2 linked regions of the Pelodiscus sinensis genome follow. The protein of the gene in region 2 purifies or fractionates together with the protein of the main gene of each other region. This does not show direct contact. Links are inferred from orthologs where the notes say so. Each region holds a gene or a part of one and is shown on either strand. Other genes may lie near its edges.

The links.
Region 1: the proteins of SF3B1 (region 2) and SNRPA fractionate together in Homo sapiens (co-fractionation; 4 studies listed by BioGRID and IntAct, with this or other methods). This does not show direct contact. The link is inferred for Pelodiscus sinensis from reciprocal best matches to the Homo sapiens genes SF3B1 and SNRPA.

The regions. Positions count from the first base shown.
Region 1 is NW_027465849.1:7,412,430-7,419,589, forward strand, and holds the start of SNRPA (U1 small nuclear ribonucleoprotein A), read right to left. Parts: upstream 3,012-7,160; 5' UTR 2,853-3,011; intron 2,801-2,852; exon of another isoform or gene 2,777-2,800; intron 2,095-2,776; 5' UTR 2,070-2,094; coding exon 1,997-2,069; intron 1,720-1,996; coding exon 1,547-1,719; intron 1,430-1,546; coding exon 1,253-1,429; intron 1,004-1,252; coding exon 830-1,003; intron 497-829; coding exon 408-496; intron 271-407; coding exon 111-270; 3' UTR 1-110. Other genes in the region: ACTMAP (actin maturation protease), read left to right, coding at 3,438-3,691, 4,476-4,544, 5,561-5,685. UniProt on the Homo sapiens protein: Component of the spliceosomal U1 snRNP, which is essential for recognition of the pre-mRNA 5' splice-site and the subsequent assembly of the spliceosome. U1 snRNP is the first snRNP to interact with pre-mRNA.
Region 2 is NC_134717.1:71,442,369-71,449,628, forward strand, and holds the start of SF3B1 (splicing factor 3B subunit 1), read right to left. Parts: upstream 3,015-7,260; 5' UTR 2,895-3,014; coding exon 2,867-2,894; intron 1-2,866. UniProt on the Homo sapiens protein: Component of the 17S U2 SnRNP complex of the spliceosome, a large ribonucleoprotein complex that removes introns from transcribed pre-mRNAs.

The DNA.
Region 1 (7,160 bases), on a different chromosome or scaffold from region 2:
GGCCAGCCCTGCGGCCAGACTTACCTGCCAGGGAACTGGTTTAAAAAGGGGGGCTGGTTGAGAACAGACTAACTGGGGGTGAGGGGAGCAGTCCTGGGCCCCGGGGGGCTTCATTTCTTGGCGAAGGAAATCTTCATGGCGTTGCTCTGCGTGATCTTGAAGCCCTGGAGGGCGTCACGGGCAGCGCCAGCCTGCACCTCGTTATCGAACTCCACGAAGGCGATGTCGTGCCGGCCAGGCACCAGCCGCACCTCCTTGAAACCCGGGAACCTGGGGGGCAGGATCCGGCCATCAGAGGGACAGACCCCTGGATTGCTCTCGTACCCCCACCGTGCCCACAAGCCACACCTCCCCCCCAGGGGGTAGCCCCACACGGCACGCCCAGAGGGCCCAGGCCCCGCACTCACTGATTGAAGAGCATGGAGAGCATGAGCTCGTTGGTCTCCTCCGGCAGGCTGGTGAGGAAGAGGATGTGGTTGGGCGGGTTCTCCGAGAGCTGAGGGGGAGAGAGCAGAGTGAGGCCGGGAGCCCTGCAGGGCGGCGCCAGCCAGACGCCCACAGCAGGGGCAGTGCCCAAGGCAGCCCCCTCCTCACCCCCATTACCAGGGGAAAGTGCCCCCGATCTCCATGCACCAGCGCCCTCCGGGCCTCAGCACTCCCGGCTTCTCAGCAGGGGCAACTGGCTCGGAGATCATCCCACACGAGCCTCCGAGCTCTCTTCCACTGCCCACCGCAGCCTGCGTCTTGGAGGGGAACGGCCCAAGCCCCACGCCTGGAGGAAGCTCTGGTCCGACCGGGCGGCTCCCAAGCCGTGCTCTGTTGTACTCACCTGCTGGGTCGGCGGCATCTGGCCTGGCATCATCTGCTGAGGGGCCATTCCCCCAGGAGCCATACCCCCCGGAGTCATGCCAGGTGGGGGGATCATGCCCGGAGGGGGCATATATGGCGGCTGGCCTGCCATGTGGTGCATCATGCGAGGGCCCTGGTTCATTTGTGGCATCCCCTAGGAGAAAGAGAGAGGGAGGCCTGGCTTCACAGCAAGATCCTGGGTGCAGAGCTGCCCTGGAGGCTTTGAGAGCTGGCAGCCCTGGCACTCACAGCTGTCCGCAGAAGCCAAACACAGCCGGCAGCCTTTGCATCTGGGAACAGCCTGAGACCACACTGGCCGCACAGGGAAAGGCTCCCCCATGGCCCTAGCTTCGCCTGCCAACCAGCCACTGAGCCAGTCAGAGAAGCTGCTGGTGTTACTTACAGGGACAGCTCCTTGCACCGCAGCTGACACCGGCGCGGTCGTGCCAGGCATCTGCTTCTTGACCGGGGGCGTCTCCGGGCCTTTGGGCTTCCTCTTCTCCCGCTTGCGGTCCCGCTCCACATAGGTGCCTTTCATTTTCGATATGATGTCCGAGTCTGACTTGGCGTACTGGATCCTCTGGCGGGAGATACCATTCATCAGGAGGAGCACGGCCAACCGGCACCTCTGGCCACTCCAACAGCACCCTCCAGACTGGCTCCCTCCCCAGGAGGGGGGGCAGCACGCAGCACTTACCATGGGCTTGTCGTAGAAGGGGAACCCCTGCATAGACCTTAAGGCATTTGTGGCACTGCTGATTTCCTTGAAGATGACGAAGGCTTGGCCTCTCATCTTCAGACTCCGAGACACCAGGATATCCAGGATCTGGCCAAACTGCGAGAAGATGGCGTAGAGAGATTTCTTCAGCTCTAGGGGAGAGGCACACAGTTAGGCACACGGATCGGACAGACACCGCTCGACCGCCACGAGGAGCTGTGCACACAGCGGAGCTGGGGCAAAGCAAGCAACTCCGGTGCACACCTGCCACACCAAAGAGAGGGGGTCAGTCCTCCTCAGCCAGATGGCACCGGGGACGGCCAGGGATTAGAGCCCCTGCCTCCTCCGAAGTACGCGCCGTGGGTACCAACCCCTCAGCCCACCCACACGGCCAGCCCAGGCCAGGAACGCCCGCGGGAGTTGGCTCACCATCCTTCTTGATCTTCTCGTTGAGGTTGTTGATGTAGATGGTGTGATTGGGGCGGGTTTCCGGGACAGCCATCCTAAGTGCTTCGCAACCACGGGGTCTAAGGAGAAGAGACAGTCAACGGACACACCCGAGCCATGGCGATGTGGTTCCCCAGGCCACAGCAGCCCCATGATGGGCGGGGGTGGGGGGGGTTTGGCTCCAGGGGTCATGGCCCCCAGGAGATCCCCATGGTGCCCATCCAGTAGCTGGAGCAGTGGGATCCCAGCAGGTCAGAGCTTGCACAGGGGTGTGATGCGCGGGTAACGCCCCCCCCACCCCCCTGCGGAGGGGTGTGATGCGCGGGTAACGCCCCCCCCCACCCCCCTGCGGAGGGGTGTGATGCGCGGGTAACGCCCCCCCCACCCCCCTGCGGAGGGGTGTGATGCGCGGGTAACGCCCCCCCCACCCCCCTGCGGAGGGGTGTGATGCGCGGGTAACGCCCCCCACACACCCGCTCGCTCACTCCTGCCTGGCCCAGCCAGCACACACAGAGAGCCAGGGCCGCGTCTGGGGTCATGACCTCACCATGGGGGGGCGGGTCAGCAGGGCAGCCCCGCCCCCCACTGTACGACAGCCCCGCCCCCAGGGAGCTAGGGCGCCCACCCTGGGGGGAGGGGAGCCAGCACGTGGCTCTGCGCCCGGGAGAGACCCGGATGTAGAGACCACCCCCCCCCCGGGAACCCCACCCCCTCGGAAAACGCCCCCTCCCCCGCCAATACCGCCCCCTCCCCCGCCAATACCGGGCTGCCCAGGCCGGGCCCGGCCCCGGCTCCCGACCCCGCGGCCCGATGGCCCGGCCCCGCCGCGGCCGCTCACCGATGGAGCCCGATGGAGTCCGCAGGCCCAGGCCGCCCGCCGCCGCCACACGAGCCGCGCCGAGAGCGCCGTCCGCGTGGGCCAATCAGCACCAAGCAGCCTCGGCCTCACCAGCCTATCCAAAAGCGCGCCCTGCCAGCCCCGGCCAATGAAAGGACGTCGGCCCCGGGCCTGGGAGCCAATCCCGGCCGTGCCGCGCGCCTGGAAAGGGACCAATCCGCAGGGGGCGAGCGTGGCTCGCCCGCCTAAGCCGGGTGGTCGGCAAGGTAACTCCCGCCCCCTGAACGGCCATTGGCTGAGAGCAGCTGTCAGTAGCCGCTGTGGCTCTGCTGATTGGCGGCCTTTGGCGCGCGCCCCGGAAGGAAGGGGAGACACAAAGGAAGCGGGTGTCCAACCACGTGACTAGACTCGTCCGACCGCAGACCTGTCCCGCCATCGCCTTCTTGGGGGGGCACCTGACACCGCCCCCGGTGGCGACCCCTGACCCCTCCAAGCCACGCCCCCTCCCCCCGCCCGCCAACTGACCTCTGACCCCTGGCCTAGTCTGCGCCCTTTGACCTCCTGCTGCCCCCAGCCAGGGCGGGGATGGCCCATAGGGGTGGGGTGCCTGCCCCTCCCCCACCCACTCTAACCCCCCACCAGGGCCCTCCCCCCACCCCCCAGCCCGGCCCTGCCTTGCCCCCTCCCCCGCCGCCTCCCCCGCTGCCCCCCCCTGCTCAGTCCCTGCCCGTGTGCGGGGTCGACAAGGCCAAGTTCTTCAAGGCGGCCCTGGAGCGAGCGGCCCCCGCGCCCGGGGGCAGAGACGACGTCCGGGAGCTGCTGAGCCGCAGGACAGCCAGGTGGGGCCCCGCCCGGTCACCCCCCCGGGCTGGGTCCCGCCAGTCTCGCCTGCTGAGCCGCGCCGGGCCTGGGTGGGCGACCCGCTTGGTATTCCCAGCGCCAGGGGTGCCCGTGCTGCAGGGAGCGGGTCTAGGGCTCGGCAGAGGGGCACTCTCTCGGCAGCGCAAGGGGGCATTGTGGGGCAGGGAGCAGGGCCGGGGCTCAGCAGAGGGGCACTCTCTCGGCAGCGCAAGGGGGCATTGTGGGGCAGGGAGCAGGGCCGGGGCTCAGCAGAGGGGCACTCTCTCGGCAGCGCAAGGGGCCGCTGTGGGGCAGGGGAAGGGGGAGGCATCGCTCAGCTCTGACCCCAGTTCCCCAGGATGGCCATAGAGATTGGTGTGTTGCTGGAGGTTCCCGTAACTCTAATGAGACATAGACGTTCATGCCTGGTCTCTGCTCTTTGCTCCAGAGCCCGGGTGTGCTGAACTCCAGTGTCCTGGCCAGGGCCTAATTCGGATCATTCCATTTTGCTTCCCTAAATTCAGTTGGCCAGGCAAGAGGGTACAGGACCTTGGGCCACTTCCTGTCCCATAGTGGGGCGTGGCTGTGTGGCCGGCCGACAGTGGCCACATCCCACCCCAGAGACCGCCGCAAACCCTGCAGCAGATGAAGTCAGCACTCTGCTTAGTTCTCCCAAAAGGAGGAGACATGATCTTCACATTAGTCACGCGGAGGGGCCCACATTGGGGAAGAGGGGCTGCGGGGCAAACGGGCAGTAAGAGCTTGTTTGGGTCTTTCTTTCAGCTTTAGCAGGCATTTAAAGTGGCTTCTGTACAACAAGCCGGTGCCTTCCTTAATCCAAGAGGGACCTCAGTGAGTATTGCAACCACGGGCAAAGGAAGAGGGGAGGGGTTTGGGGTCCCAGTCCTATGGAGCCACAGCTTCCCCGTCTGGCATTTACTCCCTCCCCAAAAGTTGCCAAGAGCTGTTCTGTGAGCATGGCAGGGCGAGGAGCATAGGCCTGGCCAGTCTGAGCTGGCAGGGAGCTGGCTGCTGTTACACACCAGTTGTGTTACGTCAGCGCCTAGGACTCCCAGCCACGGACTAGGCCCCTGTTGGGCTGGGTCCTGGACAAACATCCTAAAAGACCATCCTTGCCCCAGAGCCGTGCAATCTCGGGCTAAGATAGAGCCAGTCCGTGGAGACAGACAGAGCACGGAGTGATGGGAGACCAGGAGACCATGCCAGTGTAGTGGCCAGGGGTCTCCGCACAGCGGCGGTCTAATCTCCGTGAGGTGTCTTGGAGGTGTCCCAGCAAAGGAGAATTTCCCAGAGCGCTGCTCAGGAGGAAGAGGAGGGAGCCGTGTGGATATTTACGGGGAGCTCCGCTCCAGCAGTGGGCGAGAGTTCAAAAGGCCGGGGAAGCATGACTCGCTGTGTCAGAGGGAAAAGGAGCATGAGGAGGTAGCACAAGGTCTGACGAGTTGATCTAAACGTAACGTCCCACTCGGGGGCAGTCCTTAGAACTGTCTGGCCTCTTCCACCTTGAGCAAGCATCCCTAGACAAAGCGGCTGCTCCCCCTAGCCCCCGCTTGGGGGGGCGAGTGGCAGCCTCCGTGAGTTGTACCTCGCACCTTGGAGAGGAGGAACGACGCCAGGAGCTGGTGTCTGTGGCCAGATGCTCCCATTAGATCATATCATAGCCCCAAGGGGAAGCGAGAAATGTGGGGAGGCCGGGAACGGGAGGGAGAGGAGGCCAAAGGACACGGTGACCCAGGGAAGCATTCCAGGGTGGACTGTGCTGCAGAGAATTACCTGTCTTTGAATCCAGCTCAGCCTGGGGACCGGGATCCCAGCAATGTCTCTTCTCCCTCCCCCTCCCCCCCCAGGTGCGGGCTGGTGGCACTGTGGATGGCAGGCTCCCTCCTCGGTCTGTCCCAGGACATCTCCCTGGAGAGGATCCTGCGGGTAGCGTTGGAGAGAGGCTACACCGCCCAAGGGGAAATGTTCTCAGGTCAGTCGTCACAATCGCCCACGGCAGGCGCTTTGCACTGGGCTGGGCGCTGGAGGGACTCTCCAAAGCCCGTTCCGGGCTGCGACTGGGTGAGGAAGTCCAGTCCCCAGAGGGCCCCGTCACCGGTATGTGAGAGAGGGCCCCAGGGAGCCATGGGAGCTCTGCTCTCGCCATGCTGAAATTCAGACGTTGCTGGGAGCCGGCCGCCTTCCCGGAAGGGCTGCTTTGGGCTCGGTGGAGGGAAGCTGGGGCCCGCGTAACAGCCTGTGCTGGACCGGAGGTCAGATCCGATGAGCTAATTGTCCTTTACTCTGAGCCCTGCCTTCTGCCTGGCTGCGGCTCCTGGCTCTGGCCCTCCAGTGAGGTTCGTTTGCTTGGAAACTTGCAAGCGCCTTGGTTGGGAAAATCCCCACGGCCGGGCTGCTAATTTCCCGGCCGAGGCAGAAGGCCCCTCTGGGAGCCGCGTCTGGCTAACACCGGCCTCGGGCAGAGATCGTGAGACTCTCCTACGCCCTCAGGGCTGGGGACTCCCCTTTGGCGCTTTTCGGGCCCTCACTGTCCAGCCTGCCTGGACACTTCTGCTTTCTTTGAAAGCACAAGATCCCTTGGAATCCCGGGGCTGCAGGAGGTGGGGCTTTGTCGGGAAAAACACCGGCTCTCCTTGGCAAGGCTCCCGCATGCAGGCCCCAGCCTGGATGAAGGCCCCAGTGCCGGGTAACAGTGTGGTACGTTCTCTCTGATTCTCGCAGGGACTGGTAGGATCAGCTGGCCCCAGCTCCTGTAGAACAGGGGCCACAGGCCTGCCCTGAATTTGCTCCTGGGTGAATGAAGCTGATCTTTCCAAACACCAGCCTGTCTGGGTCTAAACGGCTCCAGCGACAGACCCCACCGCAACCCTGCCAGTCGCAAATTCCCCTCCCCATTATAGATCTCTGCCCGCTTCCTGTCTGAATTGGTTTAGCTTCACCTCCCAGCCCGGGCTTGTGTTTGATCTTTGTCACCGGCCCTTGGAGATCAAATTGCCATTGCCCGTGTCAGATCACATCCCCCGCGGTGGGTTTCCCTTGCGAGCCGTTGGGGCGCTGCTTAGGGGAGCAGAAAGCCGGGGATCCTGAGCCAAGCTTGGGCCGTGCAGCTAGGGGTGGGCCCAGGGGTGGCCCTAGACTAGCTGCCAGCAGCTGGCGCCCTAGGCAACCCATGCAATCGGCACCTCCACCTCCAAACTCCTCAATGATCTGGCGCCACCATTTGGCGCCCCATTTAACTTGGCGCCCTAGGCGACCGCCTACTTCGCCTATATGGATGGGCCGCCCCTGGGTGGGCCCGAGGGCAGCTTGAATTCCTGTCCCTGCCTCTCCCAGCGGCTGACATGGCCCAGCTGGCCGAGGAGGTGTTCCCGTGCCGGGCAGAGCTGCTCTCAGGAGGCCTGGAGGGAGAGAACCAGGAAAGGATCCTTCGCCATCTGACTGCTGGCT
Region 2 (7,260 bases):
GGTCCATAAAAGGCTATTAGCCAGGGGATAAAATGGTGTCCTTGGCCTCTGTTTGTCAGAGGCTGGAGAGGGATGGCAGGAGACAAATCGCTTGATCATTGTCTTCGGTCAACCCTCTCTGGGGTACCTGGTGCTGGCCACTGTCGGTAGACAGGATACTGGGCTAGATGGACCTTTGGTCTGACCCAGTACGGCCATTCTTATGTTCTTATGAGAATGTGAATGTTTGCAAGACTGGCATGTATATTTGCATTGTTACCATTTTTGGTCAATTAGGGTTATCAAAGCTGGTAACACAGAGAAGATACTAAAGAGACTGCAGCCTTGACAAACCACAGAATATTCAGATTTTCTGCAGAGTGATAAGTCTGATCTATTCTTACAATTGAGGCTGACAAACCTACGGCACTCAAGGATTTGAACAATCCACAAGTAGAGTTCCCTCTAAGCTGCACCGCCACACGGCTGCCAAATAAGCCCTGTGCAGCGGCTCAGGGCTGCCATGACTAGGAAAAAAACGCCTCTCCCCGCTGGGCTGGAGGAATGCACCTGACCCCAGCAGCGGAGCTAGATTAAGAAAAGGAGAATTAGGGGCTGCACCCAATAAAGCCCACCCTGTGTTCTGGGCCATCCCCTCCTGGGGTGTGGGGAAGATGGATCTGTGCACTTCCTTCCTATACCCACCCCCCAGCTGGAGCCACAAGCATAGGGAAGCCCTGCTAAATATCATAGTGGTAACACACAGGCTGTGTCTACACTGCAGGCTTCTTGCACAAGAATGGCTGTTCATGCACAAAAAATTTGTGGAGCGTCTACACTGCACACATGTTCTTGTCCAAGTAAATGTACAGCAAAGCATTGGAAGAGGGCTTCTTGTGCAAGAGTTATTCCTCTCTCCACAAGGACTAAGACCTCTTGCTCAAGAAGGCAGGGTGGACAGGCAACAGTGTTTTTTTGTGCAAGAAACCCCCATGGCTAAAATGGCCATCAGAGCTTTCTTGCACGAGAGAGCGTCCGGCTCGACAATCTATGTAATCTACTCGCCCGTGGCAAGTAGATTACAACCCAGAAGAGCAGGGTTCGGGCGATCTGAGTATGCACAGATTGCTGGACAGCGCTGCTCGGCAAGCCCTGCTTATGGGTACCCACCCCTGCACCAGCCCTTCTCTTCCCCATGTCCACTCCTCCTCTAGCCCCATTCTGATCATCTGAAGCTACCCCTCCGTATCCCCTCTCCTAACACCTCCCTCTACCCACCTGCCCCGCCTCTCTCTTCTGGTGCCCATTCCTCCCCCACTTTGTGTCTGCCCTTCTGCTTCACCCCCACAATCCCCTGGTACCTGCATCTTCCCTGGGGAAGGAGGCTGCTGCACTGGTGTCCCCATCAAGCTGCGAAATGAACGGCAGGGCTTTCCAGCACATTTCACTACTTGATGGGGAACTGGGACAGAGCATTTTAATTTGCGACAGTCCCGGGAAAAATCAAAACATATGGTCAACGTATGTATGAGGCATTCAGATAGAATAGGGGTACTTAGTAGTCCCCCACACATGTAAATAATTTCTATCAGTTGTCTCAATTTGTTATAAAGCTATTTCAAGAGCAGAAGTATTACAGATGTTGTTCTGCAAAGGCATTTTTTGCATACACTCAGTGGGGAAATGAAGTAATGAATCTGGCTACAAATAACCCCCCCCCCCAACAAAAACCCACCTTTTATAATTTGTCATAGCACTTAAAGCGTTTAAGGGCCCAATTCTGCAAACTGTGACTGAACAGATCTGTTGATACCTACTCAGACTCAATGAAGTCAACAGTGTTCCTCCCATGTAGAACTGGGCTCTCATCTAGTAATTTTGCAGACCATGACAGATTACAGTATAGCCAGGGTGGAGAACTTTTTTGGGGTCAGGGAGCCACAGAAAAACCAGTTGGGGGGCTACCCACAAGACAGAAGCAAAAACAAAAAAACAAACCCCCTCACTGAGGTGGCTAATGGAAGAGAAAGACACTCCCACATTCCCCTTGTGGGGGCAGCCTAATCGATTATGTGTGCTCCAGCCCTCCATGTGGGGGTGGGGGGTTGGCGAGCCAGTGCAGGCTCTGCAATGCTAGGATGAGGGGTGGCCCTGAGCCAGGCAAACTAGGAGACACCTCTGGCCCCAGGGTCTCAAGTTCCCCACCCCAGGTGTATAACCTTAAGCGGGCAGAGGGCGACGGGTACCTCAGAAACAACATTACTCTCTGGCACTACGTCAGCAACAATTGTCTAATATTCCCTAGCAACCCGATATCAACCCCCTTATTGCAAAAGAAACAGCACTGGTAGGAAGGCTGAGCGAGGACGAGCTGACTCAGGGAGACTGCGCTGCCAGCAGGGGTACCCACGGCCAGCCCCTGCTGTGGACGGCGAGTCAATTGCAATGCGCCGGCAGACGCGACACGTTGCCGTGGAAAGCGCGCCCGGACCCGAGCCTGCCCGGGCCGCAGCAGGCAGCAAGGCGAGGCGAGCCGGGCGGGATGTGTCACCGCCCCTGGCCGGCCTCTCCAGCGGGCCGGGAGGCGGCTGCGCACGGCGGAGCGGGGCTCCCACTCCAGGGGCGCCGCGGGCCACACGTCACCTCCCAGCAGGAAGCGCAACCGCGGGGCCCAGCCCCTCCCCCCAGCACCGTGTGACCCCCCCCCCGCCGCAAGGGCAGCCCGAGAGGCCCCGGCGGAGACGCCATTACACAGGCCCGGCCCGCCCGCCCGCTGCGGCCTGCGCCGCCCGCCGCGCCACGACAGCCAGCCCGGCCCGGGCCCGCGAGGCGCTGAGGCAGCGGGGGGGGTGGGGGGGGAGCGAGCGGGGCTGGCTCCGTGTCTCACCTTCGTGGGTCTTGGCGATCTTCGCCATTTTGTGCAGCCCGAACAACACCGAGGCGGAACTGGAGCGCCCCGTCCCCCCAGCCACTTCCGCTACGAGGGGGCGGAGGGAGGGGGAATCACTGCGCAGGCGCGGTTCTGTCGGGCCGCGGGCGACAGAGGCGCACTGGGCAGGCGCGGGTTGCGTCGGCGGCAGAGGAGGGGGGGGGCGACAGCTGCGCAGGCGCGGTGCTGGCCCTCGCGAGCGTGAGAAAGAAAGCCTTTGCCTCGAGCCCTCCGCCCCCTGGTGCCTGGCTGTGCGGTGCCAGCCTGGCTGGTTCCTAATACGCATTACATGCAGAGCTGCACCAGGGGGAGGTGCTGGACCTGTTGCAAGCCAGGACTGAGCTGGGTTGCTGCTAAAAAAAAAATTGCTGATGTGGGAGGGGAGGAAAATGCATATGGTCTATAGCATTAACTGATATGCTTTTGCGTATTGGTTAATCGCCTACACTAGTACATCCCTGTTCTCCACCAGTACATAGATTTTGCAAAAAGCAGCAATCCCTTGTGTTCAGTCTTAAATTTCCTCTCTGCTCTTGGGGTCATCTACAGTATCTAAGATGGATCCCCTCATCAGGTGACATGGTCACATGTCTCTGCAAGGCCCCTGTTAATGGGCTATCACAGCCCTGTAATGTAAACTGTAAGGCTACGTCTACACTGGCATGATTTTCTGGAAATGCTTTTAACGGAAAAGCTTTCCATTAAAAGCATTTTCGGAAAATCGCATCCAGATTGGCAGGACGCTTTTCCGCGAAAGCATTTTGCGTGGCCAATCTAGACACGCTTTTCTGCAAAAAAGCCCCAATCACCATTTTCGCGATCGGGGCTTTTTTGCGGAAAACAGTACTGTGCTGTTTACACTGGCCCTCTTTCGCAAATGATTTGCGCAAGAGGGCTTTTGCCCGAACGGGAGCAGCACAGTATTTCCACAAGAACACTGTTGATCTTACATGAGATCATCAGTGTTCTTGTGGAAATTCAAACGGCCAGTGTAGACAGCTGGGAAGTTTTTCCGCAAAAGCAGATGATTTTGCGTAAAAACTTGCCAGTCTAGACACAGCGGCTGTGTCTACACTGGCCCCTTCTTTGGAATAGGCATGCTAATTTATAACTTTGGAATAGGGAAATGCACGGGGGATTTAAATATCCCCCATGGGATTTAAATAAACATGGCCGCCACTTTTTTTCCGGCTTGGGGAAAAGCCGGAAAAGAGCGTCCAGACCGGTGCGATCCTCCGGAATAAAGCCCTATTCCGGAGGATCTCTTATTCCTACTTGAAGTAGGAATAAGAGATCCTCTGCACTCATGGTAACATGCCTAACATGCCTCCAGCCTGGGGTAGGGGGTAGTATATAGAGCCTCCTCCCCTTTCTCCCACCAGGCAGAGCCAGCCCAGAATGCAGCATACTTGAGCTACGTCTACACTGGCAGCTTCTTGCACAAGAACTCTTTTGTGGAAGAGTTCTTGTGCAAAAACTCTTCCACAAGAGAGCGTCTACACTGCCATGTGCTTTTGCGCAAGAGCATCCATGGCAGTGTAGATGCTCTCTTCCGTAAAAAAGCTCTGATGGCCATTTTAACCATAGGGGCTTCTTGCACAAGAAATTTGTGTTGCCTGTCTATACTGCCCTCTTGTGTTAGCTGTCTGGTTGCTGGGACTTAGCTTGCCTAGGGGAGAAGAGACTTGAACCCACCACCCTATACTCCCCTAGCAAATGCCCTATCTACTACATCACTCCAGAACCCAGCCCGCCTAGCTACCTTCAGAGGGTCCCTTATCCTGCCTTCCTAATGCGGGAGCCAGGTCCATCCCAGGGACAGCCTCTGTTGGCTGTCTGGTCACTCCCAGTGTTGTGCTTAAAAGAAGCACACGGGATCTTTTTCAGGGGGATAAGGCAACACGCCACATTTATTGAACATACATAGATCAATCAACACTTTCTCACATGCATATGATACTTACACTTATGCACTCACACACACAGACACACAAGCACACTCCATCTTATTGTTACCAAGAGTTGCTCCCGTTAACTGCACTGGCCAAGTGAGTTAGATGTGGGGGGGTGGAGCGGGCTTCTGCCGATCCAGATCGATGCTCCCATGTTGACAAGACGAATAATCCGGGGTCCCTCTGCAAGATGCCTCATATTTATCCCTCTCATGCAGCCAGTTAGTCATCACCTTGCCTTTGTAATGCTTTAAAGAGAGGTCTTTCAAGGGCGGGCACTTGATGCTTGACTCCCAAGGCTGTCTGTATGTCCAGTCTTCTTAATGAGCTCACTTTACAGGTATTGTCTTGATCTGGCTCCCAGGCCCTCTCGACCCTTGCAACTGCTGCTGGATGTGCTCACCTTTCATTCTCCATTCACACCTCATTCATTTCAACAGGACAATCAAGGAAAAGGGAGAGCTCAAAAGAAATTTTTTCTTTATCTTAAACAAAGTGCCCCTGAATCCAGCATCCCAAAACCCCTCCTGTGCCCCAGCTCCCACCCCTGTACTTCCTCTTACACTCCAAACCCCCTGTGACTGTACCTCTGCTTAGGAGCAGCAGGGATGTGTCTGCTTCCAAGGAGCCATGCAGAACCAAGCAGGAAGCCTGCTGGTCCCCTAGCAACTGGACTATAAACTGGACTTTATATTAATATTATTAAGGCTGGTTTATAGAGCTTTCTGGACGGTTGCTACAGGGCTGGATAACACAGGTTTTACTGTACTAGGAAAAATTCATAATGTAGATCTCATTTATGACCCATTCCTGTGATGCCTTAATTATATACTAAACTTTTACACACTGTGGCTATGTCTAGACTCCATTGCTTTTTCAGGATACTAGAAGTATCCCCAAAAAACAACGCCGCGTACAAGGAAAGTGTCCGTTTTAAAAAAAAAATAATTTGAAAGAAAGGATGTGCTCTTTTGCCATCCCTGTAAACCTTGTTCTATGAGGAATAAGGGAAAGCTTGAAAGAGCACTTTCTTTCGCAAGTAGAAAGACAAATTTCAAAAGAGCCTCTTTCGAATGTAAATCAGAAAAAGATACACAATTTGCATACCGCAAATTGCGTTTCTTTTTCCAATTTAACAGTGCAGTTTAGACATAGCCTGTGAGTAGTTCCACTGGACTCTGTGAGATTATTCACAGTAGGCACGAAATGAAATGTATGCATACATTTTTGCATGATCAAGGCCTACATTCTTAGTGGATATTGAATCCTTAACAGAAATAAAATGTCTTGCATGAGAAATTATAAGGTGTCTGAATTAAAAGGATATTATTATAAAGAAATTAACCTGAATACAAGCCTCTTTCAGATGCAACTTCTCTTCTATAGAGCCTCAGTCTCATCCAGTGATCATTAATTTTCAAGAAAAACAGAACAAACTCTAACTTGTAATGTAAAAGTCAACCAGAAAAGCACATTTCTGAAATTTAAAAAACCCAAGTCTTCAGGCCTCTTTTCTGTATTATAAAGAAGCATGAAAGCCAACCCCGTAAAGATAATGGCTAATATAATTTGCTTTTTAGGGTTGCCAATTGTGGTTGGATGTACTCCTGGAGATTTCATCACATTACATAATCTTTAATTAAAGAGTAATTCTTGGAGTGTTGGCAACCCTATCTGTCTTGGGTTCCTAGAAAACAGCAGAGAGAGCAATTTAACTTTCGACATGCCCAAGTTGCTGTGACTGGTGTCTCCTCCATCAGGCTGGGACTGATGTCTCTGATCACTTGAAGTCCTACAGGCAGTCCCCGGGTTACGTACAAGATAGGAACTGTAGGTTTGTTCTTAAGTTGAATCTGTATGTAAGTCGGAACTGGCGTCCAGATTCAGCCGCTGCTGAAACTGACCGCCAGTTCCGACTTACATACAGAATCAACTTAAGAACCCCAAGCATCCCCAAGTCAGCTGCTGCTGAAACTGATCAGCAGCTGATTCCAGGAAGCCCGGGGCAGAGCAACTCTGCCTCGGGCTTCCTGTAGTCAGCGCTGGTCAGTTTCAGCAGCAGCTGACTTGGGGACGCCTGGGGCAGAGCAGCTGGGGTGCTGCTGGGTTGCTCCAGTAGCGCCGCTCCTCGGCGCTACTGGAGCAATCCAGCAGCACCCCAGCTGCTCTGCCCCAGGCGTCCTGATTCAGCCGCTGCTGAAACTGACCAGCAGCGGCTGAATCAGGACGCCTGGGGCAGAGCAGCTGGGGTGCTGCTGGGTATAACTGATTTCATAATTTATTTTTGCTGTGTAAGTTTCAGCAAAACGGAGGAGGAGTCTTGTGGTACCTTAGGGTATGTCTACACTACCCCCCTAGTTCGAACTAGGGGGGGGTAATGTAGTCATACAGAGTTGCAAA